Linked DNA regions of Rattus norvegicus. The protein of the gene in region 1 purifies or fractionates together with the protein of each later gene. This does not show direct contact. Links are inferred from orthologs where the notes say so. Each region holds a gene or a part of one and is shown on either strand. Other genes may lie near its edges.

Region 1 (4,265 bases):
CTAATACATGCGGATACACGCAGACACAATAAACTAAAAAAAGATATGTGAGCAGAGTGGTCCAATAAGAATACAATAACACCTTTCTCTAGTTGTTACATCTGATGAAGTAAAACAGTGAGATGAAACAGCGTTTTAAACAGTAACCACAAGCTATAATTACTCATTTCAACAGACAGTATGAAATGGAGACTTTACATTCTTTTCTTGGGATGTCATTAAAATCCCTGTGTCTTTTACAGCCAAGATTGCAAAACAACCCTTCGAGTCAGGCTTGCAAAAAAACAAAACAAAACAAAAAACGGCATGAGCACGTGGACTAAATCCTCATTGAGTGAGAAGGCATGAGAACTGGAACTTGGCCAACTCTATGCCTTTAGTGCTCTGATTAATACCACATGTATTATATGGTTTATCTGGTCTGGACAAATCCTGATACCAGAGCGGGAGCTGAGCTCTCAAAGAGAAGGCAGTAATAAAGAACTTGTTTTAACATGGGTACATTGCAACCCACAACTTCTCCATGAAAAGATCTGGTTGTAACTAAACTTATCGACATGAGTCTTTCACAGTAGCTTTTAAAGACTTGTTTGAGTATTTGTGTATTTGCGTGTGTGTACACACCACGAGTGTGGCCCCCACAGAGGCTGGAAGCACTGGATCGCCTGGAGCTGGAATATACAGGCTGCGTGAGTCACACGGTCTAAGTGGCTGGAACACAATCAAGGTTCTCTGGAAGAAGAGTAACAGCCCTTAACAGTTTAGTCATCTTTCCTCAAAAGCAGAAAAAAAGAAAGAGGCCACATGCAAATGAAGTTTTGCTAGAACTCGGGTTACGACTCGAAATTACAGGGGTCCTGGGATCCACTCTCACAAACAGAAAGACATGCCCCAAATAGCAAGGCCCTTTTGGAGCCTGCGTTGAAAATCAGGATCCTCCAGAGTGACTGGGGTCACCACGCCGGGTCAGAGGCTCTAAAGGATTCTCGGATGTGATGGCAGCTTGGGCGTCCCCTGCTCTCCCAGGCAAAAACATCTACCCACTCGGTCTCCACCGATTCCTCCCATCCACCACCCCGGGAGAGCAGCTTGATTCTCCCAGGTCGCCACGCTATGGTTGCCATGGCAACGCAGTCAGCAGCGCTGGAGCGCGGAGCCCACAGGACAGTGCCCTCTTCCTTTGCTCTGTACCTTCAGGGACACCTTGGCGTCACTCTTGCTCCTCCCTGAGACCCACATCCCTATCCCAAGTAGGCTGCAGACACCCAGAAGAGACAAGAGTATGCAGAGTCACGGACATCCAGAGACTGCCAGCCCAGTCCCTCGCCGAATCCCGCGGAGCACGGAATATCGCGAGGCTTGGAGCGCTTTGCCTCCCACCCCTCCTGACGCTCTTCCGCGGCGCTGTGTTTGCGTCACTTCCTCCCGACCGGGCCGGCGGCGCGAGCCTTGTTTCCGGTTCCCGCCGCAGCTCGCAGTTGTCTATTAGTGGGGTCGGGATCATGGCGGCCACGGCCACGATGGCGACGTCGGGCTCCGCGCGGAAGCGGCTGCTCAAAGAGGAGGACATGACCAAAGTGGAGTTCGAGACCAGCGAGGAGGTGGACGTGACCCCCACGTTCGACACCATGGGCCTTCGGGAGGACCTGCTGCGCGGCATCTACGCCTACGGTGGGGCGCGGGCCTCGGGGAAGGGGAGGTTGGGGGACGGGCCGCTTCAGACCGGGTGGGGAACGTGCGTCCGAGCTCCAGAGCTCGGGGTTCCCCGGTGCTGCAGTCAGCCAGGCTCCTCCAGTCGCTCGTGTAGCGGATAGCCATGTGTGTGTCCCTGTGAGGTGCCCCGAAGCTTTGATGGGGAAGTCGGGGCTCCAAATCTGGTGCGTTCGTGCCTTGTGGAGTTTAAAGCTTCCTAAGGAAGCGGGAAATACGAAGCAAGGGTGCTTCAAGCGGTGAGAATTGGGAAAACAAGAGAATGAGCGACTGGATAGAGTAGATAGATTGATAACGGTGAGTTAAAAGAGCCGAAAGAGAGCTCCCAGAGGCGTTCAGAATCCCCAGGGGAGAGGGAACAACTGGTCCTGGCTTCTTGAAGCCATTGCCTGACGAGTGCCAGGAACATAAGAAAGAAACCCCTCGTCATGTTTTAAAGGCATGAGTAAAGAATTTGAGATTCACTCCTAAATACAGCGGGGAGCCAGCCACCGCAGAGTTCTGAGCAGAATCGATAGGATCAGGCTTACCGTTTGAAAGTTTATTTTGGTGTCTGGATTTGGAGTTAGAAGAGGAGGCGGGGTGATGGCCGGACCATAGGAGAGATGGGGATGTTATTGTGGAGCTAAAGGATCTGCTGGCAGCAGATGCAGTGCATTCCTGGCTTTTTTGAGTGAATGGTGGGTCATGCTGTTGGTATTTGCTTAGGAGCATTTGAGGGAGGCCGAATGAACTCTTTTTGTTTCTGCTTTCTTTGTTGTTTTGCTTTTTGTTTTGTTTTGTTTTGTTTCTCCATGTACCCCTGGCTGTCCTGTAACTCTTAGTAGACCAAACTGGGCCTCTAACTCAGAGATCCCCTGCCTCTGCCTCCCAGATGCTGGGATTAAAGGTGTGCGTCACCAAGATGTTTAACAACATCTTTTCTTATAAATCCTATCTGCTTATTTGGAAAATACTTGTGTTTTCATTGTTTGTTTTGTTTTAAGACACAGTCTCTCTACCTAGTTCTGGCTGGTCTGGAACTCATTCTGTGAACCAGGTGGCCTGGAATTCACAGAGATCCCCCTGCTCAGCTTCTCCTGCTGGGATTAAGGGAGTGCACAGCCTTGTCCAGTCTTTCATACTGTTCTCCTTGCTAGTAGTGATGGCCCAGCAGGTGGGTGGTCCCTTGATGATGGGCCTTCGTGCAAACAGGAGAGCAGCACAGGGCGTCTCCCCATGCCTGTGCAGGCTCAGTACTCGGGAGACACCACCAGCTGGGGTTTGAGTGCTTGGTAGCAGGAAAGGGCAGCAACTGCAGTGCTTCTGGGTTTGTGCTTTTGCTTGTAGAGCGGGTTTGGTGTGGCTTAGACTGGCCTTGAACTCCTGATGCTCCTGCCTCTGCCCTCCAAGTGTTGGTGTAGTGGGTAGCATCTTGACAGGTAGTCCTGTAGGCTGGTCTGTGAAGATGTGCTCAGCTCTGCCTGTGTTGCCTGGGATTGGCAGGAAGGAGCAAGTGTGTGTTCCCCAGGTAGTTCATGCCGTCACAGTCCTGGGGAGTTACAGTGTTTCCTCTTTGCATTTCTAGGTTTTGAAAAACCTTCTGCGATCCAACAGCGTGCTATCAAGCAGATAATTAAAGGGAGAGATGTCATTGCACAGTAAGTTGTGGGCGCTGAGAGCGAGTTGGGTCCTCGGGGAGAGCTGTGGGGAGCTGAGCCTGCCTTATTTATTTATGCCGACTTGTTTTTGGATGTGTATTCTGGGTCCTATGGAGGTCATTGCACACACTACGCTGATGTAGCCCTAGGTCCTGAATGTAGATCTATGGATTTGTGTAAAGTACTTTTTCATTAGCTTTCTTTTCTTTTTCCTTTGAGACAGGGTTTCTCTGTAGACCAGGCTGGCCTCCAACTCAGAATTCTGGCTGCTATTTGGATTAAAGGTGCATGCTAGGTACAGAGCCCAGGGCCTTCTCTACTACTGAACTATAAATGACCAGTTATCCTTTACATCATACTTCAGACTTTAGGAGCTGGTGCATTAAAGGGAGAGGTCCCCTTTCTGCCTCCTTTGGGAAGTTCTTGTTGGCGTTGCAGTTTCTTAGTTCTGGTGTCCTGGTGTAGAAGCCCCACATCCATTCTGTCTGTAGCAGTTTGTCTCTCTGGGAGCTGTGGAGATCGCTCGCTCTGTTCCCAAGTTCAGTTCTTGGTACCCACACTGAGTGGCTCAGAGCTGCCTATAACTGCAGCCTCAGGTCCAGCATCCTCTTCCCGGCTTTGAAAGAAGTTTCACACATGTTCAGTCACACAGATAAGTAAAGGTGAAAAATAAGAATAAGAAGTGACCTTGTACTTTGGTCTCCCACTGTTGGAGTTAAGATGTTTGGGAGAGTGTGAGATTAATTCATGGAGTTTCTATGTCCTCCTTGTTCTCAGATAACTGCTGGTGTTTCTAAGCCTGCTCTAGCCTGGTGTTTTATTAACAAGCCGTAAAGCTTAAGCTGGCCAGGTTCTGAGACTCTCACCTGACTAGGCTGCTGACACCGGACACATGCCCTGTCACCTGCTGTCTGC
Region 2 (3,647 bases), on another chromosome or scaffold:
GTGCATAATTGAATGGTAACGTACAATATATTGCTTGAAACAACTTTTAAGGGTGATAGGGAACTCATAATGTGACTAGACCTTCAAGTGAGCTTATGTGCATGTGTGAGATGCCAAACTAAAATTTAATATCTCTAACAGATTTCAGCTTTTCTTCCTAGCAAAATTTTGTTGAATCCTATCACCTTTAAATGGTTTTACTAACAGTTTTCAAAGTTTAAAAAAAAATGGGGGTGAAGTGTGGGCCAAGCTACGGTAATTTTGATAAGCCTAAACACACTCTTAAATGTGACATCACAAATGCAGTTCTAATGTAGCACTAAATGGCATCGATGTTTACCACACCCACCGCGTTTTCACAAAATTACACTATTCACCTGGTACTTAAGTCTTGTTAGAGACTTAAAGGTTTTGCATGGGTTCCAAATACTGGTTTATGGTACAGTTTTTGGAACTACTTGTGGGACTACATTTTGGTGTGGTGTTGTGGGGTAGTGGAGTTAGTTTGACATGAAGTTTTGCATTGGACAGATCTGCTGTGAAGCATTCTTTGTTAAAATGAATCCATGGTTGGAATACCTGCTTTTCACTTGAGCTTTTTGTTCCTTAATCCTTCTGTGCCCTTTTTTTTTTTTTTTTTCTTTTCTTTTTTTATTTTTGGACGATGAGTGCCAGTTCTCCGGCACATTCACTGGGCCCAACAGTGAAATTGAAAAGTTGGGAAATGCCTCAACGCCACATACAATAATTGACAATTAGTCTAATTTTACTATTTCTGCTTTTAGATCCCCAAGAAGGAGAAGCTTTTCGCGAAGCCGGAGCAGGTAAATGTTTTGGTGCCCTGTTCTTAGAAATGGAAGCTTAACTCTCTGGCTAGTAATTACAGTGACAAGGGTACCATACAGTCAGCACTAAGTTAGACTGAGCTAGACTTTCTTCGAGGTGAATTTCTGATAAACTAATGTATCTTCTGTTTGCTTTAGGTCTCTTTCTAGAGATAGGAGAAGAGAAAGGTCTCTGTCTCGTGAGAGAAATCACAAGCCGTCTCGATCCTTCTCTAGGTCTCGTAGGTAAGATCAATGATTGAAGTATTGAAGATATGTATATGTAATCTGTGTACTAAGATAATGTTTAATTTTTTTCTTTTGTTTTTTTAGCCGATCTAGGTCAAATGAAAGGAAATAGAAGACCAGTTGGCAAAAGTGGTGTACAGGAAATAACTTCATTTGACAGGAGTATGTACAGGAAATTAAAGTTTTGTTTGAGACTTCATAAGCTTGGTGCATTTTTAAGATGTTTTAGCTGTTCAAATTTGTTTTGTCTCTTGGAACAGTGACACACAAAACGATGTAATTCTCTATGGTTTCAAATGGATCATATGAGGCATGTGATATTAAGAATTGTTACTTTACAATGTTCCCTTAAGCGAGATTGAATTTTCTTTGAATTTTAGTTTTTCATAGACTGAAATAAACCTAGATCCTGCCCAGTTTGAAGTGATGTACTGATGACGTCAAGCACCTAGCGGAAATGGACTAAAGCTGTAGTTCCCCTAGTGGCTGAGACACAGTGTGGCACTGTGGGTGAAATGGTGAGCAGCCTTTAAAGGCTGCTGTGAACACAACCAACAGATAAAGGGTAGGAACCACACTCTGAAGGTTTTCACAGTGGTTCCTTCCTGGTTGCTGTATGGGGATGCAGAGCTGTCTAACATCTTTATTTGGAAATGTAAAACTAAGATACCAGTGTCCTATCAGTTTAAGGGTACATTGTAGAGCTGAACTCAGTTACTGTGCAAGATTTTTTTTCATGCTGTCATTTGTAATATGTTTGTGAGAATCCTTGGGATTAAAGTTTTGGTTACAAATTGTTGTTTAACTTGAAAGCCTGTTTTTCCTTGCACACTCAAAATCTGTGAGCTTGGTATCAAGTCCAGGTATAACATTCCTATTGGAAACCATACTTATATTTTCTTGTAAAGTGCTTTTGAATTAATAAAATACTAGCATAATTGTGTAGTAAGCAGTCAGCTGAGTGAACCCCCATTGCTCTTATCCCTGGAAAGCAGTTGGTTACCCAGTTCGTTCTTTGTAAGAAACAACTGAGAGGCACTGCGTTAGCGAAGGAATTTTCCCCCCTTTGCTTGTCACCTATGAGAGCCATGTTTTGGGTGTGGAAGTCAGTTCAGGATCATGGCAGTTAGTGACTAACATTTTATAAAGCACCAATCTATGACACACTGTAAATCCTTTAAGTTGCCCTTAAAAAGTGGCTTTGATCTTCAGCATGAAGTCATTGACATTCAACAAAATTTTATAATTCGTTCCATTTTATAACTTGAGGTGTTGCATGGGATTCCAGATTGATCCATCATGATGTAAAATCCACACTGGTTAATTGTGATGATGCACAGTTGAATATGGAGGCATGTAAACCTTTTCTCTTAGAAATCTGGAGGAGCTGTGGTTCCAGGGGGTTTTTTGTGTGCAATTAGATTAAATCATAATGCAACAGTCTCGTGGCTTAAGTTTCCTTAAATGTGTTCTTTTGAGATAGTTTTTGGGATTCCACTGTACTGACTTTGTCTTTGTAAGATGCCATTGCACAAGGTTCAATCTGTAAGCTTATAAATCCCCCAAAATTTGTTATCTTTTTACAATAAATTTCAGTAAGAAAGGAGAGAATTGTGTTCAGAAGGTTCCAACATGAGCCTTTGAAAGAGGTAGCCATATTCAAAGAAGATACTTTAGATTCCCTGTTAATTGTTAGGAGTGCGCTTTATCCTTCAGGGTAGGGTTGGAGTCAAGCCTGTTCCTTGTAATTGTAGGTCACATTAGCTACTCTTTTTTTTTTTTTTTTCCGGAGCTGGGGACCAACCCAGGGCCCCACATTAGCTACTCTTGATCGTTTTCTGAGTGTCATACTAAGTTAGGGTGACTGCAGGTGTTTCCTGGAGGTCATTATTAGTGACTGAGAAAGGCACCTGAGATTGGGATTCTCTTTTCATTGTGGGTCACCTCAGAGGTACATACTTTACAGCACGGTGTAGGTGCCCGCCCTTTACCATCCAGGTTCCTTAAGTGTCATGGTGGCATCTCCACCCTGTATTGGACCATAGGCACTGACCGAGGCATGAAGCTGAACAGGAGATCTTAGTAATTGTTTTTGACTCTCAGCCTCACTCTGGCATGTTGCTGCTTAATTAGAAATGAATGGTGTTGCTTATAGAAGTCTAAGGTGCTGCATGTATAGGTGAGAAACGGCCATAGTCTCCCCAGTCACTGCGTTAGTGCCTTGTCTTAAATGGGCTTTGCCTTTCTTAGTCCAGATGGGACTTTGATACCAGACAAGTCATCTCTTCCAGTGTATATTTTTTGTACTGCCAGACTGTTGCCTTCTGGTTTTCTTTTGGGGGAGGGACAAAAAAGATTTTTATTAAAGACACTGACTTTAAGCTGGGTTGGAGTATATTATGTGTATTGTGTCTCCATCCATGTACAGCACTTTATAAATGAGCTATGCTTGCCACAGGGCTCAATAGCACTGGTGAGGGAGGAGGAGAGAGGGCAGAGTAGAGTTGCGAGTACTGCCTGTTCTCTGTACAACTGCTGCTTGTTAAGGTTTAAGTTCATCTCTAGAGGATCTGA

What was found. The genes of interacting proteins can lie anywhere in the genome.
Region 2: the proteins of Eif4a3 (region 1) and Srsf3 purify together in Homo sapiens (affinity purification with mass spectrometry; 3 studies listed by BioGRID and IntAct, with this or other methods). This does not show direct contact. The link is inferred for Rattus norvegicus from reciprocal best matches to the Homo sapiens genes EIF4A3 and SRSF3.

What each region holds. Positions count from the first base shown.
Region 1 is NC_086028.1:105,054,739-105,059,003, reverse strand, and holds the start of Eif4a3 (eukaryotic initiation factor 4A-III), read left to right. Parts: upstream 1-1,442; 5' UTR 1,443-1,502; coding exon 1,503-1,671; intron 1,672-3,277; coding exon 3,278-3,350; intron 3,351-4,265. UniProt on the Homo sapiens protein: ATP-dependent RNA helicase. Involved in pre-mRNA splicing as component of the spliceosome. Core component of the splicing-dependent multiprotein exon junction complex (EJC) deposited at splice junctions on mRNAs.
Region 2 is NC_086038.1:7,100,059-7,103,705, forward strand, and holds the end of Srsf3 (serine/arginine-rich splicing factor 3), read left to right. Parts: exon of another isoform or gene 1-738; intron 739-785; coding exon 786-824; intron 825-983; coding exon 984-1,070; intron 1,071-1,157; coding exon 1,158-1,185; 3' UTR 1,186-3,459; downstream 3,460-3,647. UniProt on the Homo sapiens protein: Splicing factor, which binds the consensus motif 5'-C[ACU][AU]C[ACU][AC]C-3' within pre-mRNA and promotes specific exons inclusion during alternative splicing.